Astyanax mexicanus: one gene and its partners. The protein of the gene in region 2 purifies or fractionates together with the protein of the main gene of each other region. This does not show direct contact. Links are inferred from orthologs where the notes say so. Each region holds a gene or a part of one and is shown on either strand. Other genes may lie near its edges. The genes, in order: vps39, plekhm1, vps41 and vps33a.

Evidence for each region.
Region 1: the proteins of plekhm1 (region 2) and vps39 purify together in Homo sapiens (co-immunoprecipitation; 3 studies listed by BioGRID and IntAct, with this or other methods). This does not show direct contact. The link is inferred for Astyanax mexicanus from reciprocal best matches to the Homo sapiens genes PLEKHM1 and VPS39.
Region 3: the proteins of plekhm1 (region 2) and vps41 purify together in Homo sapiens (affinity purification with western blotting; 4 studies listed by BioGRID and IntAct, with this or other methods). This does not show direct contact. The link is inferred for Astyanax mexicanus from reciprocal best matches to the Homo sapiens genes PLEKHM1 and VPS41.
Region 4: the proteins of plekhm1 (region 2) and vps33a purify together in Homo sapiens (affinity purification with western blotting; 3 studies listed by BioGRID and IntAct, with this or other methods). This does not show direct contact. The link is inferred for Astyanax mexicanus from reciprocal best matches to the Homo sapiens genes PLEKHM1 and VPS33A.

What each region holds. Positions count from the first base shown.
Region 1 is NC_064421.1:20,441,313-20,449,141, reverse strand, and holds the start of vps39 (vam6/Vps39-like protein), read left to right. Parts: upstream 1-4,817; 5' UTR 4,818-5,408; coding exon 5,409-5,481; intron 5,482-5,697; coding exon 5,698-5,763; intron 5,764-5,846; coding exon 5,847-5,911; intron 5,912-6,395; coding exon 6,396-6,438; intron 6,439-6,576; coding exon 6,577-6,671; intron 6,672-6,903; coding exon 6,904-7,002; intron 7,003-7,090; coding exon 7,091-7,183; intron 7,184-7,829. Other genes in the region: transmembrane protein 87A, read left to right, coding at 35-141, 279-337, 419-522, 674-753, 1,641-1,705, 1,795-1,856, 2,408-2,438, 2,578-2,619. UniProt on the Homo sapiens protein: Regulator of TGF-beta/activin signaling, inhibiting SMAD3- and activating SMAD2-dependent transcription.
Region 2 is NC_064422.1:10,630,922-10,637,812, forward strand, and holds the start of plekhm1 (pleckstrin homology domain-containing family M member 1), read left to right. Parts: upstream 1-3,872; 5' UTR 3,873-4,088; intron 4,089-6,770; 5' UTR 6,771-6,795; coding exon 6,796-6,849; intron 6,850-6,891. UniProt on the Homo sapiens protein: Acts as a multivalent adapter protein that regulates Rab7-dependent and HOPS complex-dependent fusion events in the endolysosomal system and couples autophagic and the endocytic trafficking pathways.
Region 3 is NC_064408.1:103,282,611-103,290,253, reverse strand, and holds the start of vps41 (vacuolar protein sorting-associated protein 41 homolog), read left to right. Parts: upstream 1-4,640; 5' UTR 4,641-4,906; coding exon 4,907-4,927; intron 4,928-5,287; coding exon 5,288-5,326; intron 5,327-7,643. UniProt on the Homo sapiens protein: Plays a role in vesicle-mediated protein trafficking to lysosomal compartments including the endocytic membrane transport and autophagic pathways. Acts as a component of the HOPS endosomal tethering complex.
Region 4 is NC_064429.1:3,077,633-3,084,863, forward strand, and holds the start of vps33a (vacuolar protein sorting-associated protein 33A), read right to left. Parts: upstream 3,023-7,231; 5' UTR 2,970-3,022; coding exon 2,868-2,969; intron 1-2,867. Other genes in the region: D-amino-acid oxidase, read right to left, coding at 5,244-5,354, 5,762-5,860, 6,732-6,849.

The DNA of each region.
Region 1 (7,829 bases), on a different chromosome or scaffold from region 2:
ACCTGTCAGTGTCCTTAACAGCTGGATTCCACATTTTCATCAGTTTGTCTCAGACTACTCGCCTTCTGAAGCTTCGCAGAAATGTGGTGAAGCTCTCCTTATATCAGCACTTTACCAACACCCTCATATTCTCTGTGCTGGGTAAGTGCTATGTGTTTGCATGCATTTGGTAGCATTCGGGAATACGTGTTTAAAAGAATTGCCAATACAAGTAATAACAAGCCAAATGCATTATACTAATGTTCTACTTAATATTATACTTCTATATTATACTGTAGCATCTATCATTTTCATCGTATGGACCACCAAGCAGTTCAAGATTGTGGAGTGTCAGAGAGTGAGTAGGATATCGGTGAAAAACTCTTTCTAGTTTGTGATGTCTGTGGCTGAGATTGTGCTTTTGTTTTTGGTTCCTAAGGCTTGGAGAGAACTGTGGGTGGATGATGCTTTCTGGAGGTTGCTGTTCTCCACCATCTTGCTGGTGATTATGGTGCTACTGCGGCCCTCTGTCAATAGCCAAAGGTTAGCTGAATTACTGTGTATTATTGCAATGACCTTGAATGCATATGTAACCTTGAGTGATATGTAACCTTTCACACTGTCTGAAAGCTTGCATGATGTATCTGTAACTTATGAGTGTAACTAATGAAAAATGACCATATTCTTTGCATAGATTTTCCCATTCGCCCCTTATTGATGAGGAAGATGATGAGGATGATGAAGCGAAGGAACCTATGCTTAATGAAGCATTTGGTAAATATCAGTATATTGATAGAATTCGTTCAACCACAAAATACAAAAAAAGGAAATTCTGTTCTATACCCATAGTAGTATTTGTTTTGTTTATGTTGGACAAAAACATAGGGATGGGCAGTATATTACAACATGATGTTACTTATTTATTATGAAAAAAAATATTGTGACATTTGTAGCATTACAGATTGAATTCACACTCTCGATTAAAAAAGGAAAGGTGTTAATATTAAGGACAAATGGAGGAAAATAGCCCAAAAACAGATGAGAATCAAAACCTCCAAAAAACAAAACCTTAGATTCAAAATAAAAGCAAAAAGGGAGAAGAAAACAGAGAACCAGACAGAAACTAAAACTATGCAAAAGCACATGCTGAAAACTGTCAGAAACAGGAAAAATATGTCAATAACAGAAGATAGAAACAGAGAACAAGCTGATATAGTGCAACAGAAAATGAAAATCTGATATAAATATGTTGATCATGTTTGTCTATTGTCTATTGTTTGTTTATTGTCACATACATAGTCACACATGGTACAACTAGCAGTGACATAACAACACAAAACAATAAGATATGAATATAACACACACAGATGAAGTATAAAGAATGAAAAAATATACAAAGATGATTTAATGGTTGTTGTACAATATAGAGATCAGTTAGGCTTGTAATTCAGTAATTCAGAATGTGCAAATGTGGATGTTCAGAATAATGCTGTTCAACAAAGCAAGGAATTGTAGTGTTTGAGAGTCTGTATCAGACAAAACACATGTAGATATTTTTATTATGTTAATAAGATATTTTGCCCTCTTATTGTCATGCCCACCCTGCCCACAGTTTTTAAATGGAACAATGTCTCACGTGTTGCCATGTGCTCTGTTTTCAGAGGGAATGAAAATGAGAGGAGCAAAGTCAGACACACACGCAAGTCAAAAACTACTCGGCAAAGAGGTGAGAACTTAATATCCATGTTACACATACTTCTATGATGGTTGACCGTCACCTCACTTTTCTTTTCTTTCCTGTTCCGTGTTCTTTAGAGCTCCCAAGATGATGACCTGAAATGGGTGGAAGATAACATTCCTACAACTGTAGTCGATGTGTGAGTAGAGCTCCACTAACACCTTGCACAATATAAAGATGTTACCTACAATTAAACAATTAAATTCTACAACCATAGAAATAACCCTAGAAAATATGAATCCTGGTATGGAAAAAGCATAATTTACTCTCCCAAAATATGTCACTTTGTATAACGCTACCTACAGGACTATGAATACTGTGGGGAAAAAAAGAGAGAAAATGGTGGCATTACTCATGCAGCAGTGTTGACCGGTAGCTGTAAATTCTCAAGCAATGATTTCTTTACCAAGAAATTATATTGTCTAGTTAATTTTATTCTTTGGTGTCCAGTCTTTGTCAGGTTTTACGTAGTTCAGATCAAACACAATTGACTCTAATATTTAACTGCTTCTCAAGGCCTCCATTATCTGGGTCAGGTGTGTTAGCATTGGAGCTAAGGTCTGCAGGGCAGAATATCTACAAACTGTTGAAGCACTGGCCAGACCTGTGGTAAATCATTGTGTTTTGCTATAGGAAGTGAACCTATTTATTGTGATTCTAATTGAGTGCAACGCTTCCCTCTTTTTACAGAGCTTTGCCTGTGGTGTTGGATGACGAAGAGGTAAAGTGACTGCTTTTTTTGTGTCTCATGATCATGGTCACATTTTTACTCATTATATGCTCACAGTCAGATGATTCACAGTAGCATTACTCAACAGGCCTTAATCTTGTATGTGTCTGCCCACCCTTCCTCCTAACAGGAAATTCTAAACACCAGGATGGAGAGATCCAAAATGGAGTAGGCTTCATGCAGGTGCATAAAAGCAAGATATTTATTCCTCCAGTTCAGCTGAGAACTTATAAAGTGATGATAAATGTCACTCAGTTGAAACCCTTGGTTGGAGTACTGTGTTTTCATTTGAGACAGTTTCTGGTCTGGGGCAAAATGTGGAAATATGTCTCAGGCTAAATGTGAAATCTGTCAATCTTCTTTGCCATTTCTTATTGTTTTTGTTGGGTATTTTGCTGGGATTCTATTTGTGCAACTTTTCTTATTTAAGTATTTTTGTGCTTTCTTTAAGCATGTGGACAGATTTAATTTTGACTCAATACCATCCAAACCTTTTTAATAACCTAATCAGTACTTATACCTTAATGTCATTACCAGTTCCTAAACAATACTTTTTCCAATATCTTGTTTCAAATTACAAACAGAAAGTGGATGTGGCTTAAAACTGCAAGAATGTACAAACAGATTGTATGTTAGACAATCTGCAGTTATATTTGGTAACATGTGGACTAATTGGTTCAGTGCTGTTGATTACATTCGCTTCTTAGGTATTCAAGTTTGGCATTGCCAATACTCTCTCAAGTATTGATATTGTTCAGTCCGTGCCATGAAAGTATCTAACTACGATAACCAATCCTAGGTTTGACTTTTCATCTTTTTTATGCCTGATTAGAAGGCAGATTGCATAACATTTCAACACTGGCTATGGGTGTCTACAGTTGGGTTCAATTATTTTGGGAAAGAATTTGACACAGCTTGTCTTTTTTGTGTATAAGATCACTTGAAATTACACATTTATTAAGCATTTAATTATATGCATATATTTATGTTTTAAAGTTAATCATTCTTACATAAAAGATTTGTGGAAAGATATATTTTTTGTACATCAAATGCTTGTTAGCTTGTTTCTTTTTTAATTGCCTTAGCTTTACTGGTGACATGGGAAGGGGGTGTTGTGTTTGTCTCTGTTGAGGTTTGGCTGAAAAATAATAAAATTTACTTTGACTTTTTAATCATTGTGCTTTTGTTGACTGTATATTCATCACTATACACACTAATATATGTTAGAACATACGTGTTTATATATACTGTACATTAATGCTGAGCTCTAATGGGGAAAAAAGATGTTAAGAATTATGTTAATGTATTCAGAATCCACCAATTATGTATTTTAATTCAGTTTGTTACGTTTGGAAAAGAAATTAAACACTGAAAGATAAAATGGTGCTTAACAATGTTGCTATGGCCTGTAAATAATCAGCTAAATACTATATTCAGTTCAGTTTTAACATATTTACATTTAGCATATTTACCAACTTACACAAAATAATTTCATATAGCTGTAATGACTGTCTGTTGGGGTGTTTAACAATAAGTGAGTTGATGAAAAGAGGCATTCTTGGTCATACTTTACTTTAAACATATCAATAAAATATTACACGAAGAAACACTGCAAACCAAACACAGCATAACATGTGTATGTCTGTATGTATAGGCTGAGGTGTAACGTGTAATTCGGCTCTCGTGAGCTTTGACGTATATCACGTGCCTGTCACGGCGCTGAAAGCGTTCACACAGCTGAGCGAGAGTCACGGGGAGTTTGATTCAGTCTAAGGAACCGATTCTTTCCAAGCCTAAAATTCTCGAAGCCTCAATTCCTTCATATAGCTATAATTATATTTTGCTGGGTAGTTCAAAAATGTCAACATGATTTTTCAAGTCCAGAAACTTTTATTGTAATTTTATCTGAGTACAGTACAATGGAATTACGTTCCTTTATCTTGTACAATATAGACAACAAAAGGGCAAACCTGCCACAAACTGTTCAACATAGCTAAAATACTACAATAAATACAACAGACATGAGACATACTAATAAAATAGACAGTGCAGCACCAACAAAGTACTGTCTAAAAGTGTGTTTCAGAAACTAAAGTGGTCTCTTAATTTTTTTTTCCGGAGCTGTATATAGTAAGTAGTAGTGGAAAATGTCTCGTGTTATTCTAGTTCTTAAGTCAAACAAAACAAAACAAACAAAAACAGATTAAATAGACCATTTGTTGCATTGCTTCTTTAATATTATTTTAATCATAATTAATGAATACAATAGTAAATTCAATCCGCTTTGTTCTGTGTGTGACTTTGTGAGTGTGTAATGCAGTTGAACCAGTTCGGTCTGTTTACTGGAAGGAATCGGTTGAAATGAATGAATCGTTTACGAGTCGGTCACAGCTCTTTGCGAGTTGGCTAGCTAGCTAGCGAGCCTACAAACTGTCAACACCCCGAACTGGCCTGTTTTACCGGGGGTTTGGTGTTCTCTGGGAATAGCTAGGGGGTTCCGAGGTTGGCACGAACTTATCTGAGTCGGAATATGGGATGAAATGTATTTAGTTCAGTTGTGGCTTTGTTGACACTCGGACTAAAGGAGCTAGCTAGCGTTAGCCATGGCAGCTCTATACAGCAGCGCTAGCTAGCTAACTAATTAGCCGCGCCGCTAGCGCTCACTGTACCCGTGATATATTCACTTTCTGACGCTGTCACACTTTTTACATTCGTGGTGGAAATACGGGAGATGGAGCAGAAGGGTTAGCCGAAAGTTTAATTAGAATTAGTGGGGTTGTGTAACTGGTATGTGAGCTCTGAGCACTGTTGCTGTGAGCTAGGGAACGATAGCTAGGCTCGATAAGGGCTTATTTTCAGTTCATCAGCTTCCCGGTTCGCAGATGCCACCTAAACCTTACAGTTCCACTTTTCTTTAAAGTCGTTTTATTTTCTAGCTTTTTGATTGCTAAATCTGCCGCCATGCATGACGCCTATGAGCCCGTACCTATTTTGGAGAAGTTGCCCCTACAGATCGACTGCCTTGCGGCCTGGGGTAAGATTGATCTTTATCCTTGTGGGAATTTGTGAGGAAATGCTACAACTATCAGATAGCATTGCTCATCTGCTTATCGTCTGCTTCCCTTGCTTCAGTTGCATTTGATACTGTAGCTAAAAGGTTTTCCCAGTTCATTAACACAATTAAACAGACGTTGTGTTTAAACCACCTATGTTGAAAATGTTCTACAATATGTTCATGTTGTTTATGCAGAGGACTGGCTGCTTGTGGGTACAAAACCAGGCCACCTCCTTCTCTACAGAATCAAGAAGGATGCAGGTAGGACATTAAGAGGCATAAGACTCTCTGATTACTTTATTTATAATTTTTAATTCTGTCTCTTTTGATCTCACTTCATACAGGTACGAATAGATTTGAAGTAACACTTGAGAAATCCAACAAGAACTTCTCAAAGAAGATACAGCAGGTATGCTTGTTTCTGTCTAAAAAGGCACTTGACATTTTGGGTCAGTTTCCCAGGGAGAGATTAATTTAGGTTGTGGACTATATTTCCTTTTTGAATGGAAAGTCTCTATTCAAAATGCTATGTAGTTTAGTTGTTGTTTAGTGTTGTTTTACATGCACATTTCAAATAAAAATGAATATAGAAGTGAATTATACTTGTCTTTAAATCTACTTACCACTATACAGCAATGGTGGGAAGTTGCAGTCTTGGGGGTGCTGGATTCCTGCTTTTTTATTTTTCTTGCATAAGTACTCCTAACTCAACTCACTTGTTAACTGCCAAGTTTAGAAGGTTTGTTACAGCAGGGAAATGTGGTTTGCCCATCTTTGTGCAGGAGTATGTGTGTTTACAACAAATGTAAGGATGGTTACCTTTTTCCTTTTGGCTGGAGTGCCCCCTTTAATATAAACATGTGACTTCTGACAATTCTCTTTTCCACCACCAGCTGTATGTTGTTTCCCAGTACAAGATTTTGGTCAGTCTGCTGGGTAAGACTTTACGTTTATTTTGTATACTGTTGTTATTGAATATGTGTTCTCACTATAAATTTTGCTTTAGCAAGTTTCAGTAGTGTTAACACACTGTGCATCATGTAATAATCAGTTTTGTATCCTTGTTTGTTTCAGAGAATAACATCCACGTCCATGACCTACTCACTTTTCAGCAGATTACTGTTGTATCAAAGGCTAGAGGAGCTACACTCTTTGCTTGTGACTTGCAGGTCTGTATGGATGTGCGCGTGCGTGTGTGTGTGTGTGTGTGTGCTGTTGTCAATCATGACTCATGACTCTGCTGTTGTCAATCATGACTCTAAATCTTTCCTGCACATTGAATAATTCATTGTATTTATTAAACTACATAATATAACCAGTGTTGACAAACCAGTCTTTATTAATACATATTTCCCTCACATTCTTACTGCATGAAGTTGAGTTTTCTTGTGCCTTCCTTAGCAAACCTCCTCCGGTGAAGCAAAATTGCGGATGTGTGTTGCTGTAAAAAAGAAACTACAGCTGTACTACTGGAAAGACAGGGAGTTCCATGAGCTGCAGGTAAGTTTGAAGGTGGTAATTTATTAATTGTCTTTCTGATTAAATAATGTCATATTGCTGTTTCTTAAAAATGTATTGTGTCTTGTAGGGAGATTTAGCAGTACCAGATATTCCCAAGTCCATGGCCTGGTGTGAAAATTCCATATGTGTTGGTTTCAAACGTGATTACTACCTGATTCGAGTATGTTGAATCCATATTTTTAAAGTGCATTTATATATTTTTTAAATAGCTCAGCGAAAAAGAATCTGATTTACCCAGTTTCTATTCTTACCCCAAAGTAGCTCCATCCAAGACATATTTGGTATGTTTGTTCTGGTTCTGCAGTTTAGTGCTGCAGCTATGAGCTAACATTACATTAAAAAATATTTTACCTCTTCAAACCATATCTCAACCTTCTTTAAGGTTGCGCAAATCTAATGATTTAATTTAGGACGCACTATGACTTACTGTCAAAAGGATCATAACAAACAGTCATTGTGTTTAAATAGGTTTCTCTAGCATTTAGTTACTTTGTTCATTGTTATTGTTTATAGAAACCATATTGTGCTATAAACTAAATCAAGTATTCTTATTGATGACCTGGATGCACTTTAAGATAAATTTTTATTATTCATACAACATTAGCATTGTATATGAGTGCACAAACACAGAAGCAACGTGTGAACACCAAACATGTTAGATAATTGCAATACACTACAATACAATACGATACACTTATATAAACTTATAGTTTATAGTTTCCTTAAAATTTGTCTTGCATTCCACATTGGCTCTATTACAAGTACATTATCATACACACATTTAGACAAACATTATAACTCTGTCT
Region 2 (6,891 bases):
GAAATGCTCTGTTCTAGAGAAACTAATCTACTTTAATTCTTTACAGAAGTGGTGAATGGAACAAGGTCATGATTAAATGATTACAACACAAATCTACAACATTTAGTTTAATATCCGAACCCACCATTGAACATGGTTTTATTTTATTTTATACGGAATGTTGCTAATTTAGTTGCTAATAAAGATTTTTTTTCTGTCTATTTTTTGCCAGACAACAACGTCATGTACCGGTAATCCCTTGACCATAATCAAATTTTATGATTTTAAAATAAAACTGTTCTCAGAACTCTGGAAAATAGTGTCTCAGGCAGCGGGCAGTTTATTCATAACATTTGGTGTTATAGCTTTTAGATACTTTGGACATCTTTTTCTATTCAACACTATTGTGAACAATTCTGACTGGGTATGTTTCTCAAAAATGCAGTGTTTTGTTGATTGGTCATTATTAAAACAAATATGTGTTACTTAAATTCCTCTTAAGCAAGGGGATAGCAGGTGTTTCTGGATGACCTGAATGGTGGTAAATTAGAACAAGAAAAGTGAATTTAAGTATTTTTTTTTAAAGTATACTTAACATAGACATGTGAATTATTCTAGAATTAAAATTTATGAATACTTTAATACATACTAAATGCAATATTTTGGAACAACTTACGTATATTTAAGTATACTTCAGTTGTAATTAAGCTATATTTAAATACAACATAAAGGCATTATTTTTTTTTCTCATATAACTTCTGTGAACTGTTAATACACTTGAAGTATATTGTAAATTTTGTAAATGCATATTGATGGACATATTGTGTTCACCTTAATGCTACTGGAACATAAAATGCACTAAAGTGCACTTTAATCAGTATTTAATGCCACTATATCTACTATATCTAACTATATTTTCTATCAACACAATGTTTAATTTAAAGCACAAAATAAGTTTTATGGAAATACAGAGAGGAAGTATATTTTATGTGTATTTTCACTGAGTATATTAAATTGAAAATGCCCTTTTAGTATTCTTTACCTAATTTCAACATACTTTTAAAACTCTTAAGTATAATTTCTTTTCACAAGGGTACCCTTGTAAAAAACCTTGTATTAAACAAAATTCCATTTTTTTATATCATCTATTTTAATTATTTTCCCATAATTTCCTACTGCTGTTGCCCTTTGTAAATTATTTAAGAAAATAATATTCAGATTTAGAAACATTTTATATTATTCAATATTATATTATTTATCAGTATTGTCTGTATCTCAGGTGTTTGTAATATTAGTAATAATATATAGTAAATCACTTGGTAAACAGTCTATAAGTGGTTGAATTTATTGGACCAGTGGATAAACAGTATTCTTGTTTACTGGCTCGTAGAATGAGGTAATTTTACACTCATAAAAACACATATTTCTTATGAATGATGAAACGTATTGTTTAAGTGTGGCTGAACTTTGGTATAGGACTGTACATTAGCTGGTTTTCTGTCGTCATGTTGATGACGAAACATTGAGGAAATTCCCGCCCAAATGCCCAAGTATGTAATTCCTGAGAAAGAGAAATTGAAAGTATGAAGACTGTGCTGTTGTGTTTTTGTTTTTCTATTTTTGAGAGAACACCAAAATAAATCGACCAAAACACTAAAACAAAAACTATTTTAGATTATGGTCGTTTTTTTGTGTAAGTGTAGTTTTGTAGTAAAAATAAATGTTTATACAGTTAGATATGAGTGTGCATAATGGACCTAAATACCTACGTCACCCACAATGCATTGCTAAATCACAATGCAAAAGAAAAAACTAATAATAAACCTACAATCATATGTATTAGTATACATAAGAAAAGAACACAACAGTAAAATATATAATTAAAATAAAATGATAATAATTCGGGACATTAGATATAACCAATTGTGTAAAAAAAACTTTTATTTTTTTAAGATGTAGTTCCTAAAGCCGGACTTTTCTACGCAGTCAGGCCAGAGCGGGCGTCCTGTAAAACTACAACTCCCACAAGCCCCTCTCTGACTGCCGGACCAGCAGGTAGAAAACAACAGAAATCAGAGAATTCCTATATATAGAGGATTTCTGGCAAGACAAAATTTTTCTTTTTAAGGAAAATCATAATTTTTTTTTAAATGTTGATGATATAATATGTTTTTTTCTATATACTGATTCAGTGTGGAGTATATTGTAAATATTATGATTTTATTGATTAAATACTGTATACACTAGAAGTGTATATAGGACTTTCGGTCAAAATAAAAACATAATCAATATCTTGGCATTACGGTATTCTTGTAATATTTAGTGTATTTGCTTTTAATTATTTGTTTTCAGTTCATATTTGTGCACTAAATATGCAGCACTTTAGGTTTGTGGTAGTTTTTTGTTGTTACATTACTTTATTTGTGTTTTTTTATTTTGTTACATTATTTGTATTTTTATTTGTTTTTAATCTGAGTCTTGGTAAGTTACTGTTTATAAAATAGACGTATATAAAATAGACGTATATACGTTTATATATATATATATATATATATATATATATATATATATATATATATATATATATATATATATATATATATCTGTTTCTACTCATATAATATTTCTGCTAAATAAAACTTTAACATTTAGTTTTGTTGAGGTAGCATATTATTGAAATATTTTTTTTTCATGTCAATGCTTTGTCATATTGCTTATCACATCATAAAATTACCATGAAACGTTATTATATTATATTAGGGCCATCTCCTATCTCTAATTTACACAAATGTAAACTTTATATACACAAACGTAATTTTTTTATTTCAATGCCAAAGTTTTTTTGTGGACTTCACTAAGGTGTGTAGGTTACCAGAGGGCGCGCTCGAGTGTGTCTAAAAATAATGGGTTTATATAATTTATATATAATATGATAGTTTATAAATATTCAACACTGAATATTTAGTATTGTATATCTAGACATCATTTTAAAAGCTTTTAAACTTAATTTATAAGCCTTTCTAATATTTCTAAACCGTGCTCAGTGCTCAACTTTTATTGTGGAAAGAACATCAGACTGTGACCAGGGTTGCCAGGTTTGTAATTCTCCCGCCAAAGTGATTTTATTTGTAAATATAAGGGCAGGTAAAAAAAATGGCTACTTTTAAAATAGTCAGTGGCCACCAAAAAAGCCTTCAAAATATGGAGTGTCTTGTAAATAATTGACTTATTATTGGAAATATTTGAGAATTGTGGGACAGAGAAAAGATCTTTTATGGAATGATTAAAAACTTTTACACTAATGCACTTTCTAACACAGATGTCAGGCAGTAGAATATTTAAATCTGATTGACTTGTATCTATACAAAATTTCTTATACTTTTGTTTTAATTGCTTTGCTTATTTATTAGAATCTTTTTAACCCGTTAAGAGGCCAAGATTTTTGTCAATTGTCTGCCCTAAATCTGAATTTCCTGAATTTCTATTCAAGCAATACATAAAAAGCTTTCATGCTTGATAAGGAACGTTACTGAAAATGTAATAGAATTGTAATAGAAAGTATAGAAAAATAGTCAAGTAAATTTGCAACTGTCAAAATATTATTGAATAAAATCATAAAATTAGATCTTTCCTGAATTCATTTTGAAATCAATACAAATCTTGAATACAAATCAAACAGTTCGTGTCCTCCAAACCTTTAGTTTTATTATGTATGTCTAGTTTTTACATCTATTTTCAAACAAGCACAGTTTGGGCTAATTTGTTTGTTGTGTTTTAAACCCCAGTATCTATACTTCTATCTACAGAGTAATGAATGCCAATAATTTTGACATATTTTTAGTATTTTTAATGGATCTGGTAACCCTGCCTGTCACTGCCACCACAGTCGAGCGGCGGCCAGAGGATCTTCAGTACAGTGTGTAAATTACAGCGAGAGCGGGCCGACCCAGTACTGCTGCTGTTCCTGCTGTCTGTCTGAGTTCATCTGCCGCTCATCTGCTTGTTTTTAAGCTCGGTTAGGGAGACTGGAAGCTGCTGGATTTAATCTAAAACACATTTCCCCCTGTTCTTTCTGAATAAACTTCATTTAGTCCGTGACAGACATGATGGTAAGTGGATTTACTGCTCTGTTTGGGATCGCCAGCGTTAGCTAGCAGGGCTGATGATGAAGCAACATTGCTGTAGCTGTATAAACTTACATTACAGGCTAGCTTATATTAGTTTAACAACTGGCTGATGTGTTTTAATAAATATATAGAAGATAAATGGGTGATATATATAATATGAGTTATGTTGGCCAGTTGGTTGTTTAGCTTAGATAGCTCGTGTTATAACTTACATAAAAATAGATAACATAGGTTAGGTTAAATAGCTGGAAACTTGTGTGTCCTGCTTATTTAGTTAGCTAAACACCTGAAGGTGCAAATATGGGTTAGAATAGTTTTGCTAACCTATAGCCTTGTTTTTAATAAAATAAAAGTACTAGCTAGGTTAGCTTATGTGTCAAGTTAACAGACTTCTCATATCTGTGAATTAACTGGTTAGTTTAACTTAGTTAGCTTAGCTAAGCTAAAAAAGGCCCTCAACTTTATATTTTGTCCTCTTTATTTGTAACTAGATAGCTAAGTTACTTGTGAAATCCCGATTCTAGCTGGTGTTAGTTAGCTAATGCTAACATACAAGCTGTAAAGTGTTTAAATTAACGATAATAGTGCTAACAAGATAGCTATATGTCGTTTAATATGGGTAACTGGGCGATTCAAGCCCTTTTAAACATATAAAACAGTTTAAAAGAGACAGGTTTCCTCTTTGGAAATTTGCTTTAGGCTTTTACTAAATTCCCTCACTGCCGATGAAGGCAAATCCAGGTCCGAAAAAGTTCAAATCCACCGGGATTTTGCTCCAGCTCCCTGCAGCCGAGCTGTACACAGAGCTGCTCGGCCGGTTTGAGCGAAACCCTGGTGAGGATAAGTACATATACGGATCTGGATTTGCCGTTTATGATCTTTACAAGATAAAAGTCCGCATAGCCGTGAGAAAATACTTTTTTTAAATGTAAAAGTCTTCATGATTTTATTTTTTTTAGATTTACTTCACTTAAGATGCTAATATTACAAATATAAATAGAGCCCAGACCCATTTCTAAATATTCAGAAATTAATTATTGAATAAATTCAGTGAGCAGCTCATTCATGTTATTTTTTATTGTGGGAACTTTTTTTCTTAAATATTAAGAGCATATTTTCTTAAATAACACAACCACAATTTCAAAACTATTATTAGCATTTTGTTCTATAGATTAGGTGAGAACTTGTTATATGGACTATTTAAGCATTAAACTACTTAAGCATTTTAATGGTTAAAATGGTTGGAACAGACCTGTTATAGCAAAAAAAAAAAAAATACACTTTCAAATGGAGTCAAATGGAGCTAGTTTAGTTTTACCTACAGCACTAACCATAAAGCACCAAAACCATAAGGCATGTATGTAGTGATGCTCTCAGGGTCTTCAGTATATGTCACTTATGTAACTTTACACAGCTTTTAAAGCGTCTGTAACACATACATCAGCATGGGCTCTTTTGAGTAAAAAAAAATATGTGTATGAATATATATACATATATACCACCCCTGGTGTATTGTAATTAGTCTGTCAGTGTGTCAAAATATGATAAATATTGTGTATCGTGAAACTGTTTTTAAATGTTGTCAAATTATATTGTTACCACGCAGCCCTTTTTTAGTGATTGCGTACACCAAGGGTGATTAATGGCTTTTACACTGTTTAAATCTGTATCAGAATTGTATAGTTTCAACTAAAATGAAGAAATATATGGTGATATACATTTTGTTCTGATATAGATCGTTTTACTGTTTAATATAAACACTGGAATGCTGATTAACCAGCACCAGTATTCACCATCTCAACACGTCTGTTCCTCAGCAGGGATGACTTGTCTCCTCATGACCAAATCTTTTTAGATCTGAGGAAATTTCCTGTATCTGAGGAAAGGTCTCAGTAGCATTGTGTCATGAATCCCCTGTTGTGAAGTACAGCATGTCCTCATTCCCTTTCTTTATTTACTGACTTACATAATTTACTGCTGTGGTCATGAGCTTACTACTACCTCTTTGTGTGAGGAGGAGGAAGAGTGTACAGTAACAGTGATCGTCCCTTTGCCTTAGATTAATAAAGGATCCCTGAGACGTTCCTTACGATCTACCTAGTTAATATGTATTTTCCAGTACATTTTTTTATTTTAGATATATTTACATATTTAAAACTTAAAATATATGTTCAAAATCAATCAATTAATTAATCTTTATTTCACTCAGGAATATGTTGAGTGTAACCCTCATTTTAAGAACAAATTAAAGGACAAAAAAATAATATAAAAGAAAATCAAGTATTTGATCAGATTAAGCTAAAATAAGGAACTTTCTAAAAAAAACAATTAAAACAATATGCCATTAAAAACGAACAATGAAAGGTTTAATTAAGAAGAAATAAAATTATTTAAAATAAAAGGATAAGTGGAAAGGCTAAAATTTAAAGCAGTAAAATATAGAGATGCATAATTAGAATAAAAAAAACATTAAATGAGGTTGTGGGCTGTATGAATGAGAGATGCAGTTACTGAGCTGTTTGAGATGTAGCTGATGATGTTGATGATGATGATGATGAAGATGATGATGAAGATGATGATGATGAAGATGATGATGATGAAGATGATGATGATGATGATGATGATGATGATGATGTTGTTCTTGTTTTGGGATGTGTGGAGCAGAAGTGATGTGATCTGAACAGGAGTCATGCTCGCCACACAGACCGCTGACTCTGTCCCAGAGGCCAAGAATGCCAAGCAGGTCAGTAACCCCACCCTCTTTTTTTTATTCACACTTGAGAAA
Region 3 (7,643 bases), on a different chromosome or scaffold from region 2:
TTTATTTTATTTACAATAATTTACAACAGTTACACACCAGTACACACACACTTCTCTCATACATTCACATAAACATACTGTACACATAATCACTTACAGTATAACTACTGGAGGTAAACAATAGTCCCACACCCATTTTCAAATATGATTCTTCACAAACCAAATAACATCTGGCCAGATTCTAACCGTTTTTAAAATAGCTTGGCTGTAGAACGCTCCAGAATCAAAATGCCTAAAAAATTACTGTAGCCGAACGTTCCTCAACAGAATATTATGCAATATAGCATACAAATATACTATAAATAATAATAAGAAGAAGAAGCATAAGAATCTTCTTTTATATTTGTTACAAATAAATACCAGAATCATTACCTAATAACAAAAGTGCTGGACAGTGTTGGTATTTCAAATTTTCAATTATAAAGAAAAATGCATCTCTATTTATAACTTGGATGCATAATTGGATGCAAATAATAATTAAATAAATAGCCTATGTTGTAAAAGCTTGCATGGAACTTCAAATCAGCATCCCTGGTCAAATGGTACATTTTGTTAATTTTCTAAAAGTAAATACATCCTTTTTATTTTAATGAAAAATATTTTCTGTCCCTTTTAGAACCAGTTCCCATTTCTTTTTGTAGAACCAGTAGTAGAACCAAGAAAAAGTATCCTATTTATAGTGCATCTATGGTATTTATAGTGTATCAAATTTTGCTTAACTTTGGAAAGCCGGTGAGTTTTTCCAAAAGTCCAAAAAAAACTAAATGTTTAAAACATACTGAAAATAATTTTAAATCACAGACTGGATTTTTTATATTTCAGTAACAATGTTCAATTTCGTTGTGTCGAACAATAATGTCTTTAAAGCATCAATTCTTTTAAAAGTCAGAGTTGTCTTAGACGAACATCACAGGTATAAAATCCATGTAGTAAAAAGAAGTGGAAAAGGAGTGAATAATTCAGCAACAGCCTAAAGGTAGACTGACCAAAGCCAATGATGTGGTAAGCAGGGGAGCACTATGCTTCTGCTCATCAATTATTAGCAGTTATACTAAGGATAATGCATTGATGAAGTGACCCCGACTTCAGAACCTGAGGGCTCTTCAAGTATTTACCACGCTGTTTGCCAGGAATATAATACAGATGAAATCTACAGCTATAATGGATGAGTGGACATTAACGCGGTGTCGAACGGTGCAAAAAGCACTCTCTGAAGTAGCTCATAAAACACAGACGAGACTGATAGTGTATTCTGTACGAGGCCGGGGTCTGCGCTACGAGATAAGCCTGTGTGTTTCATCTAGCATTTTTCCTCAGATCCTGTCTTGTTTACCACATGTACTAGATTTGGTCACCACCGCCTTTAACAGACATTACAGGCAAGAGTGTAAAAGTCTGACCTCGCAACAATTCAAAGGGAAACCATTCAATATATCTTATATATTTACATTTCAACTACCATTAATGTATGAATGAAAAGTGTGAGCCCAGATGGCATTAGAGTATTACACATCAATTCTGACAAAACACAGTTTGACACAATAAAAACATATTTTCCATGTCTAATTATTGAAAATTATAAAAAATTGTATTTATTATTAATTGTAATTGTATTGATTATTAATATAGTTATCATACAACACTGAAATGACTTGTGTAGGTGTAGCTCACTTACATCACACCTACATCATACACTGGAAAACAGCATTATGGAAATTGCCTTTTTCCTAAATTGAATAAATATTATGGCACTATTACTTGTTTGCTATTACTTGTCAACTTATTGTTTGCAGTATTTTATCTTCTCCATGAATCACCGGGATCTGATCTCACTCTGCATGATCATATACACTCACACAATACTTGTAGACCTACATCTTCATACAGTTGTTTAATCACCCTTCATTATATCAGTGGAATAAAATGTTCTTAAAATGACAATAATATTGTTTGTTGCAATTTTTGTGGGATAATATATTGTCCAATAAAAACATTTATTGTGCCAGGCTTATTCTTTTCTTATCTTTTTTTATCAAAACATTATTTTAACAACATTACATCACTTGATATGCCTCTTCCATGCATGTCTCATTGTATCAGTTGCTGTTTAGAATCTGCTTCAGACACAATTTGTCTACAGTACAGCGAGGCAATGGGAAATCTGCCCAACAGCCACGAACTGAAGGGTGCCAACTTTTTGTGTGAGATGTGTTGGCCATGTCTGCAAGAATCATCGCTACATCATCTGCAAATGCTGCCAGCAGTGATATTTGTCACTCAACACAATTTTAGCTTAAATTCCAGCAAGTCAATAAATATATATAAACATACTGTGTATGTACAGTAAATTTTACATCCTACTGAAGATTTTACATTAAAAATTATGTTAAAGATACAACTGTGAAATGTGATGTGAGTCATGTTATCCCTTTCATGCATTTTTGTAGTTTTTGGGTCATACATTCCAGACTTAAATAAGAATAAGAACAAAGCTAAAACTTTGATTCAGATTTAATCTGAATTTTGCATTCAATGTATGGGTCTAACAAACCAACATGCCATAGTATGCCCTCAATCCCAAACAGCAGTTTCCATATTGTGGCCTGTATTTCCTGTATATGAATATGGTAACCCTGCCTCTTGGCCTGCCACACCACATCAGCATAATCATGTAAGACGTATTGACAGCCTGTCGCAAATGATCCTATCCCACGGCCGTGTATGGCAGCGGTCTGTTACGAATCAAAATGTAAGAATGTCTAAGTAAATCTAATCAAATGTCCCGTCCTCTCAAACGCATAGGAATAAGCTTGGGGTGAGGGTATAAAAATGACTGTTTCTCCTCCGGGTCATTAGGATTATACAGACAGGGATGCTGAATATTCGGACAGTGTCATGGAGCCTGATGTACACTTACCTGGGGATGAATCATGATTAACTCTGAATGATGACCTCTTTTTGCATCTCCTCAGAATCAGGCAAGGCACATGCCCAGACCCTTAAAGGCCTACTAAAAAAGCATAGCATAGATATCATAATGTACACAATTTAAACACTGAATTTAGAGGATTAGTTAATAAATCAAACACTAAACCTTGAGCCTTCAGCATGTGTATAAGTGCCTTAAAAGTTTTATATAATTCTGCTTATGTTGTGCAGAAATGACAATCAGTCAACAGTAAACTAAACCTGGATTCTTATGTGAACGTTTTATTCCACATAAAGATGTTAAGACGGGGTGAGACGTTAAGTCCAAGCGCCTAAAAATGCAACTTACAGCCTGAAGCCTGTGTGTTGCCACAGCACCAGCTAAGGTAGAATGGTAAATTAGCAGTATTTAATGTAAAATAGTACATTAGCAGCATTTAAGGTGAAATGGTAAATTAGCAGCATTTAAGGTGGAATGGTAAATTAGCAGCATTTAAGGTGGAATGGTAAATTAGCAGCATTTAAGGTGGAATGGTAAATTAGCAGCGTTTAAGGTGAAATGGTAAATAAGTAGCATTTAAGGTGGAATGGTAAACTAGCAGCATGTAAGGTGAATTGATAAATTAGCAACATCTAAGGTGAAATGGTAAAGTAGCAGCATTTAAGGTGGAATGGTAAACTAGCAGCATGTAAGGTGAATCGGTAAATTAGCAACATCTAAGGTGAAATGGTAAAGTAGCAGCATTTAAGGTGGAATGGTAAACTAGCAGCATGTAAGGTGAATCGGTAAATTAGCAACATCTACGGTGAAATGGTAAATTAGCAGCATTAAGGTAAAATTGTAAATTAGCAGCATTAAGGTAAAATTGTAAATTAGCAGCATTCAAGGTGAAATGGTAAATTAGCACCATTCAAGAAGGACTGGTAATTTTGCAGCATTTAAGATGGAATGGTAAATTTGAACGATCCAACTTCTTCATGGAAGAGATTTACTGAAGGCAGCTACTCACACATGCTGGTAATGCTGATTGAACAGCTTCGCCTTGTTGGTCATGCTGGTCAACCATTATTTTGTCGAAAATATAGTATTTACGAGATCCGAGCACATAAACGCCACCACACACTCATATTTGCCAGTGGGAAACTCAGATTGTTAGATAAGCCTAGAGTTTCCCAGTTGGGGGCGTGTCAGTAACAAGAGGTCAATAAATTGATGCAGACAATTTTGTAAACTGTATTGTAAACTGTAAACTGTTTATATTTCTGTTATTGCTACAACACTTCAACACTTGCAGGTTGTTATTAGCTAACCAATTAAATCAGTTGCAATACATTAAAAAAATGAATGATTCACTGTTCTAATGGGATAAAAACATCACTTACCTGAATTTCCGAGGAGAATTGAAGGTAGCAGAACAGCATGGTCATGGTGGGCATGCTAGTCAACCAGCATAATTAATCCTGGTTTAAGTATGCTGGTTGTTGTTACTGGTGGTCTCGCTTCTTCAGTTTGATCATGCTTGTCAGACACAAACATACCATATGCTGTTAAGCCATATCAAGCCAAGTATTTTTTCCCCAATGAGGATAAGAAATACAGAGAAATATTTTTTTTGAGGAGCAATACCTTTGGTCGTCTTACAAGCCAACTCTCAGAAAGCATGAGTGGGATTAAACTACATTTCCCAGCATGCCCCTGCTCTTTCCTTGTGTTGTTGTCATGTGACCGTGCTCATGACTAGTGTCAAAATGCTGCAGCTGCTTTGCTTTAGCTTAAACTGAGGATTTTACTGTGTTTTTACGGCTAAGAAGAGGTGCAGTTTAACAGGAGAGCTCGGTCACGGCTCCCTTTCGCCTTTTCTTCACATTATAAGATTATAAACGGAGAGTTTAGTGTAGAAACCGGATTTCTGCGGCGCCTGTTTCCTCTTACTGACGGATACTAAGGCTAACGCTAGCGGTTAACACTAGCTTAGCCATGTCGGAACTGGAGGAGAAGGTGAGCGTTCAGTTTAACTACATTACATTACAGACTGTTTCACCGAAAATACGCGATTAATGTGCTTATTGTGTGAACTGTTATTACGGTGACGTATGGACAATGCTAGTGTCAACAGTTTCCCCTGACTGTCTTCATATCAGCTCTTAGCTTCAGCTCATTACTAGTTATTATTATTATGGTACCACTACTACTAGTAGATCCTATTTATGTACATTTACACGTCTATATCCTATATAGACACTGATGTGTGTGGTAGCGCTAGTAATTTTTCTATTCACTTAACTCTTGCTAGACTAACTAGGTAATTTAACTGAGCTAGATTTGAATGGGAAGCTAAGACTGTGTCTTTTTTTCCAGGAGAGAAAACCAAGTGAGGAGTCCACAGATGATTCAGAGGTAAGATTTGGATTTAGGGAGCATATTATATAAACAAACCCTTGTTTACTTTGAGTTTAAATACAGTAATCAGTTATTATTAGGGCTGTCAATGTTAAGGCGTTAATGCATGCGATTAATTTGGAATCAGTAACGTGTTATTATTTTTTTACAAAAATTAAATATGCCACCAAGTTTCACCCCAACTTCTGCCGTAATCTGCACTGCCCAGCGCACAGATTTCTTTTTTCTGGACTGATCTGTTGTGGAGAGATCATGATCTAGTCTCAGTCCAACCCAGCTATGAAATATACTTATTTTTAATTGAGTTAACTGCTGATAAGGCACAGTTTACACACGCAATAATGTGCAGCGTTCACTGCTCACACCTGTGTTGCACGTCCCATTGAAAAAACTGTGTTTAAAAGCGCAGCTCCAGCACCAGACAGCTCTGGCCAATCAGAGGAGACATGTGCTTGTGTGGTTTATTGGTGAGCATTTTGGTGCACAGGTTTATGCCTGTGTGAAACCAAACCAAACAGAGGAAGAGTAAACAAACTCATCAACTGATCCAGAGCATAGAAACAAACTACAGATGTAAAAAGGCCTTTTTATACTCAGCAAATTAAATTCTAATTTAGAATTCCTTACAATCAAGCTGAGATGTTTCAAAAAGTAAAAAAAAGTTTTCTCGATCCAATTCATCATGCATTATTCATTCCAGCGCTCCATATTGGCTTTATCTCCCCTCAAACATACAAGTATATACTAGTATTTTAATTGACACCACTAATATAAATATAATTGCATTTTACATTTTCTACATTCATTATTTTATTTACTTTTAAACATCCACTATAAAATCTTTATTAGGGCCGGGAAATGTATTGTAAATATCTATACAGTATTTTTGAAAGTATTTTGCACAACATAAAAAGAAAATACCATAATGTATTGCATCTGAGTGTGATTTAAAAAAAAAAAACACATTACTGTGTGGAAATATGATAATGATAATGATATCATCCAGCCCTATCTTTCAGTTTAATAAATCCTACCCTTAATTGACAATTCGTTCTCTAAATGTAGCTAAACAAAGGGAATCATTTATTAAACAGATTGGTAGGAGTTGCTTCATGTATGAAGAAATTATTTATTAAATTAAAGGAATGATTTAAGTCTCTAAATAATTTCTCTACCTTGATACTTTAAAAGCTTCATACAGTGCAACACTTTCTAATACAATATTTGTGCTATGTGTGAAGATGTACCATAAGTACACTTATATTGGAGGTTATTTTTAATATATAGACATATAACAGTTTGTATTCACATTTAATTCATTTAAGTAAAATGTCTCTGTCAAAAGTTACAATAGCCACATATACAGCACTATATTGTACTGTATTTCACGGTTCAGTGTGATTTAACATATTAAGTGTTACAATATTGATTAAAGTGCATTAAGTGTAAATTAAAATAAAACATTCAAGCCAACGAATTAAGGCAGAATGTCTCTCCCTGAAGCAGTAACTTCCTCTTTACCTCTTAATCAAGAAACTTCCTTTTTATCAAAAAATGAGAGTTGGTAGGTAAAGCACCCTGTCTCATGCTGTGGCTAGCACAGAATGTTAGCATAATACATTTAGAATGTTGAATGCTGGCCATAGCATTGTATTAAGGCAGTTGTACTTCGGACTACACAAGTAGTATCATCAGTTTTCATCTAAATATCCTTAGGATATCAATGACATTTCAAAAGTGATTTTTGCAACTTCTAGTCCCCTATTACGCAATGCTACTTGTTTATGTACTTCCTCTAGGTTACCTAAATCCAACCATCTTTTTGTAATGAGCTGTAATGGTCACAGACTATTCAGTTGTTCCAGCAAAGCATCACACCAGGTGATTGGTGAAAAGAGCATTACTTTGATTACTTTGCTTTCTTTAAATAATTTTCAGTTTGGTTACTTTGGTCTTGAAATGTTTAAAAATATGAATTTATGGAATAATCTTGCATGAAGCCTATTATTACAAAAACACAAGGAACACAATTAATTACCTTAAAAGCTCTTGATAGTTTACAGCATAAGGTTAGTGTTCATTTAAGTTTAGAGGAGGTATAACATTTCAAAAATGTGAACACAGTTATTCACTGGAGTTTAAACTTGGAACTTGCCTACCTATTTATAAGGGTGTTTTTTCCTGGGTGTGTCCCAGTTCATTAGCTGGGGCAGCGGTAGTGTATATGACTGCTACACTGATGACATGGGTTCAATCCTGCCTAAGGATCGGTGTATTTTATTTATTTTTCCTTTCTTCTTGGGTTTACCTGCTT
Region 4 (7,231 bases), on a different chromosome or scaffold from region 2:
TACTAGCATAATACTATTAAACCATTTTACAGTTAAACTAACATTGTATTATTAAGAGCAGACATTGAGCTCCCATTATAAAATTACTAGTAACAAAAAATAGATTAGTAACATTTACATTAATACATTAATACATTATATGATCAAAGACACAGATGCCCAGCAGTCCAGAGCTCTTGCTACAAATGTATTTTTTAATGTAACTGTCAGACAAAATCCGAGCAGGAACACCAAAACGTTTACTGTGGGGCTTGAGGCAGGATCTCTCTGGAGGAACAATATATATATATATAATATTCAGCTTGGAAAATTGGGCTGGATTTTTGTGCTTTAAATTAAATTTTAGCTTTGTTTCCACTGCTTTAAAACAAAGACGACATACCGGCTCATTCACGCTGATGGTCTTATCGCTCATTTGGCTTAAAGCAAAATACTCTCACATCAGAGCCTTGAAACTTTAAAACAAAGTCTATCCGGACTGAACTTCTCTAAACCTTCTAAACCTTCTCTAAAGGCGTTTAGATTTGAGAAAGTCCTATTAGCCTTTCTTTAGAATACGTTCACCAGCCAACACATCTCCACACACTCTGTCTTCTCTGTGTGTGTGTGTGTGTGTGTGTGGGGTGGCATCGTCACTGATGTTCAGGCTCTGTGTGCACTACACTTGTTTCCTAACAGATGTCTGACAGATTCGTCTTTACCTCAGACAGAGAGCCGGTGAGAGATCAGCATTGAAATAAAGCTTGTGACACTGCAGAAGCTTATTGATATCAAAGCTAAACGTGGTCCATCCAACCAAATATTAATGTGTGACCTTTTTTTTTGGTGATGACTTTTTTTTTGGGCCAGGAAGTGTAGATCAAACTAATCTTAAACAGCAGATCAATGTCTTTTTTAGGTTTTTCTGTTTTATAAATGCTAATTGTTTGACAAATTAAGAGCAATATATAATAAAGCTGTGTAATGTGTGTGATTTTTCTCCACAAAAAAGTTATAATGCTTTGCATCTTTTTTAAGCGTGGCAATGTTGTGCGTCACATTCACAGCAAACTCAGTTGAGACCACAGATCAGACTTTTCCACACTCATTTATAAATATTTGTGTACAAAATATTCTGATCTCAGATCAGCTGCTTGCAGTTTCTTAGGTGTGTACTAAAATGCACAAAAAGGTTTTTTTTTTGTTTTGAGGCAGATTTTAAAGCAGGGTACTAAACAAGCTCTGTGATTAAAACGAACTGATTCAATTCGAATCTAAATTTTGAGTTTGATATCATAATTGTCTATAAACAGTGTCTTTACTAAACTCCCTGGGCACTTTTAAACCTCTGAAAATGCTGAAATTCTCTCTGCAATTGGTGGATTAACATGTTCACAGCTTCATTTTAGGTTACTCTCACTTTACCAAACACAGTAGAGGCACCAAAATGAGCTGCATGCAGTTTTTTCTCTCAATACTCCAGTCCAGAGATACAAACTTTACAGCGAAGGGAGATTTTGGACCAGGCCTGGACCAACAAGCACCTGGTGGGAATATTTTGAAAATGAAATAGTTGTTTCTGAGGAGTGACGAGAAAACCTTGAATGTCTAGAGAATCTCTTGTGTCTTTGAGTAAAATGCTTCGACCTTGCATCGAAGGGGAAACAACTGTTGGAAATCGCCTGTGGAAGTTTCTTTCAGTATTTAGTAGTATGACCTTTCCGTGTGGACAGTAGGGGTGTGCCATATCTTATCATACGCAATAATATTGCCAACATTTTTGAATATCGTAACCAATATTATACCCTGAAATATCGTGCCAGATCACCCACCCCTGGGTACTACTTTTTTGCAATTTTTAGCAAAATAAAAATTCACACTGTTTTTTAATTATATCTGTCCAGATTCATTTCATCTTACTTTAATCCTGGATATATGGAGATATATGGAGTGCATTATTAGTATCATAACATTCTGGATCATTGTCTTCTGTTACAAAGCTGATAAAATTACTGTATTTTTAAATCCCTCAATTAGGGGTGTGATATATAATATGCAAATATAAAAATTAAAATGTATTCTTGAAAAAGATATATTTTTTTAATTCAGTGTTTTGTCGTATTGGCAAGAGTACTGTTAATTTGAAAATACCATGAAATATCATGATATTATTTTAGGGCCATATAAACCGCCCCTAGTGGATGGGGATATAAAAAAACCTTGCTTTTTAAAAATATCCAGATTGATGTGGACAGGGCCTCAGTGCCTTGTTTTAAATGTCAGGGCCCTCACAGTTCTACCAATGAAGTGTGGAGCTACTTTGAGTTTGTTAATGGTGTAAAGATAGTGATTTCTCTGCATGAGTAATGCTATGCCCCAATCACTACCACGGTAAACCTGTTGGGAGCATCGGCTAAAAGTGCTGTGTTTGGTAGTTGGAAATGCTGGGGGAGAACGGAGGGGGATTATTTGAGAACAGTTCGTACTAGTTATTGTGTTTCACTACAACTGAAGTCCATGTCGTGCTGGATTTCTCCTTTAATATGGTAAAATAGGCGGATGTGAAATGAAAACAGAGTAAAGCCCTTCCTCAGTGTACTGAGTACATGATTAAACAGCAGTGTAGTATCCAGGATTAACACTGTTTCATATTAAACACGCGTATGTGAATAACTCCTGCTATATATAAATAAAGATAATGATATATATATATATATATATATATCTATATCTATATATGACAGCTGTGAATCAGTGTATATATGTGTTATTTTATGATATTAAACAGTAGCTACACGGTGGGCTGGTGATCTGATGGGAGCTGTGATGGTTAGTTAACGTTAGTAAACACCGCTCTGTAAGCCCGTACCCACCGCCCCGGACTGTACCTTACTCCCCGCGCACTTATCCAGAAACTCCCGCAGCTCCTTCCGCGCTGCTTCCCTCAAAATGTTCAGATTCACTCTGCCGTAAGACAAGTGCGCGGCCATGTCTCCTCCTCACAGCAGCGCCACACTCATCATGTGATGCGGGAGAGTCACGTGGGCAGAGCGGCTTCAGGTTTAGGACAGTCAAACCTCTGAAATCTAGAGATTTTTTACTATTCGCCCAGTATAAAACATGCTGTCAGTAGCTAAAAGAAATATATTTTTCTTTATTATGTTACTTTATTATGAGTTATGTGTCCTGCGTCACAATATATTAATAAAGTCGCAGCGCAAAACTGTATTACCCAGCAACACTAGTTTTAGTACAATTTCTTACTTTTTTTTTACTTTTTATCTACGTTATTTAAACGTTTTTATATGTTTCGAAAAGCTTTCAATCAGTTTTAAACTGTACATATTATTAAACTAGTTCATATTATTTCATTTACAGCCTCAAAACTGATTTTTATTACATTTAAGGGAACTTTTATTTTGACAGGAAATCGTTTTGGACACCTGCCAAGTGTTGCTAGAATCACAATGCTGTAATAAGCGCGCACCGCGAGAGGGAGCGCGCGAGTCACTCCTAAATTAATAGGTGAGGGGTCTGTCTGCAAAGCCGCAGATTTACATATACAGCTCTAGAAAAAGTTTCTGAATCAGTTTCTCTGATTTTTTACTATTTATAGATATATATTTAAGTAAAATAAACATTGTAGTTTTATTCTATAAACTACAGAAAACATTTCTCCCTCTAAATTGTCATTTAGAGCATTTATTTGCAGAAAATGAGAAATGGCTGAAATAACAAAAAAGAAGCAGAGCTTTCAGACCACAAAGTTCAGAAATCAATATTTGGTGGAATAATCCTGGTTTTTAATCACAGTTTATATGCATCTTGGCATGTTCTCCTCCACCATTCTTACACACTGCTTTTGGATAAACTCATGCCACTCTTGGTGCATAAATTCAAGCAGTTCAGCTTGGTTTGATGACTTGTAATCCTCCATCCTATTCCAGAGGTTTTCAGTTTGGTAAAATCGAAGAAACTCATCATTTTAAAGTTATCTCTTATATATAATTCTTATGCTTTAAACATATTTTTTGCATAATAAATGCATAATAATAAAGTTAAAATACACATTTTAGTTTTGTCCCTTAAGGTGTCCAGCAGTGAAACTCCGGTTCAGACTTTCAGCTTCGACCCGGTCAGGAGCACCACTAACTGATTTAAACCCTGACAAAACTCAACTGTCAGATATTTATATCACAGTGTAAGTTTCCTCTAATGTGGTCTAGTTCTGTGTGCTGGGATAGAGAGCTGCCTTATCTCCTACATGAGTTTAGTGTCTGTGTGCACAGATATCCTTCACCACACTGGATTAAAATCTGTATCTACAATAAATTATGTTTCAAAAAAGAAAGAAGAAGAAAAAATAAAATGAAAAACTAAAAAATAAGTCTTTTTTCATTTTTCTTTATCATTTTTGTTTATTGCGTTATCATAATCAAGTAATAATTATTTGATCCCATGCTGATTGTGTAAGTTACAAAGACACAAACATTCTATCTTTTTTGTGGTATGTTTAATTTAACAGATGTTTAATTATTATTTTTTACATCACTATAATGTAAGTCATAGTTCAAGCACAAGAGTGTTATGATTAAGCACAAAAAAAATGAATGTCAATGATTTTTATATGATATTTCTAATTTTTATTTCTACCTTATTCAGTGGATGGGTCACCATGTCAAGATATGTCTACAGAGATTTTATTTACAATTCTACTCATATGCGGAAAAATAGTGAAGAATATAAAAGAAAAACGTAAAAGTTATATATATACCTTATATGAATGTTAAAAGTATGTTTTAGACCAAAAACTAGGCATCAGATCTATCTATTTTGAGTCCAGATAGGCAATATGATGAGAATATGATGACATATTTATTAATCACAATATGCATCATGGTATTTTGACATTTTTTAAATGCAGCAGTAGAAAGAGATCCTTAAAATGCTATTCCAAAACTCGCCCATGCCCGTTATAGTGATTTACAGTGCTAATTCATCTAATTCATCAGGACTAATTATACTCTCTGTAATGAAATGTGCTGCTGGTCACAGTTCTTTAAGCACTGATAACATATCTGTAATATACTCAGAAAAGAATACTGTATTAGTATTCTAACACAATTTAGAATGACAGAAATCATACTGTCATATTAGCCTCGTCTAATTTCGATGAGGTTTAGGTGTGAACTCTCACATCACGTCTAAAACTGTGGACAAAGAACTGCACCCTAGATTCAGACAAATGATTGGAATCTTCAGGATCATAGTCTAGATTTCTGCTGGAGGGTTTCTCCAAAAAGTCGAGCAGCTTCCTCAGCACAGCCTCGATGGATCGTCAGGCCGAAGCCTCCATGACCGTAGTTATGGATGACCTAATGGAAAACAGCACAGGAAAAGTGAAAGATGCAGTTGAAGATAAATTTCTGAAACTTCTGCATTAGAAACTCCTGTAAAACTGCCAGAAAAGATATACTGTATATAAACAGTCCATGCTCTGTATCCTTTCACATTTATATGTTACACTGAACTTTTTTTATATAATGAACTACTTCATATTAGGTGACCATAGATTTTGTTACTGTCCGATAAAAAAGGAAAATAATAAAGAAAAGATCCTACATTTCCTACATTATTTAAACACTTCAGATTGTACTTTTTACTTTGTTAATGAACCAATAGAAAGGCTTCTGTCCAAAATGACATTTCTTTAAACTGACAGGTATTTAACGCAGTATTATTCCTGAGTTAGGAGCAGAAACAAAAATCTCTGAGAACTCACCTCAAACGTGTTCAGTCCAGACTTTATCTTCTCCCTCTCCAGCCTCACTTTACTGCGTACTGGTCTGAGACCAGTCCAGTCCTGTATGATCTGAGCATGCTGAGGAGAGACAGGACACACTGATGTAAAGAAGTGGATGTTGGTAAGTTCCAGCACATGCATGTACTGTACAGTACTGCATAAACATTCAGGACCATCCTCTGTTCATTTAATCTCCAGACTAAACCATCAGTAAGAACACCATACACTAAATTCAACAATGTTGAGGTCTGGACTCTGGATGGTCAGCGAAAAAACTCCACTTCAGAATGCATCTGCCCATGTCACTTATTCAGACTCACATCTGATATATCACACCTGGATCCTGTAGTCCAAAACCAATCCTTTATGCATACAGCCAATGAATAAACTCCATCCCAGAATGCATCTGACAGACACAGACATTATTCAGAGTCGTCTTTTACTGGATCAGACCAACTAATTTTCCATTCTACTCAAGTGTTTGACTTAAACACATCTGTGAATACACAGTTTGGGTTGTGAAATATTTTGAACAATAAAAAAGAGGGGGAGCACAGCGAAACAGGTTACTCGGTCAGAACATCTCCAAAAAACTAGTGGGATGTTCCCCGCCCACCTCCCAACGTACAGGACTTAAAAATCTCAGTCAAATACCACACAACACCTTCACCACAGGTCAAACGGTTAGATCTGCTGTTGTGGCACAAGGGGGAAATACTGAATATCTGGCAGATGCTGTTAATGATGTGTCCAACTGTTGTATGAGCTCTATGGACTGGCAAGAAAAATAAACATATTATATTAAAGTAATTTCACAATAAATACACTTTACACTACACTGGCAGTGGACATGCTACTCAAAACTGAAGAAGACCCCGCCCACATTCCTATCATCCTATCAGACAATCAGCCCAGTATAAATAAAAAATCTCTACTGTAATCTCTGTACCTTTAGACTGGGCTCCAGTTCACAGGCTTCATCCCACACTTTCTTGTGGTCGATGGAGCTGTTCAGCTCACTCCAGTTTCCCCGCTGGAAAATTCCACCCACAGTCACCGAACGACTCCTGAAGATGAAGTTCACAGTTAAATCCTCTTTAATCTACAGCTTCTGGTGTCTTAAAAGTAGCTTAAAGATATAAGTGTAGGACCATATGAAATCTGTTTAAATTCTTTCACTCTTTATTGCATTTTGCTACTTTTGAATTTAAGCTCACACACATTTCACACTGCAGACTGTACAGTAGAATCTAAACAGTCTGCACAGGGGGTTGGTGGTTAACACATTCACCTATCAGTGCTGGGGTCTTTGGTTCAAGTTCCTCTCTGGGTAATTGACCAAACTTGTCATTTGGCCTTAAGCTGTATTTTGTTTTGCTGGTAGTAAATAAAGTTATATATATTTATTGTGATCAACCTGACTGAAATGGTGGTCCCTGTTTACCCATT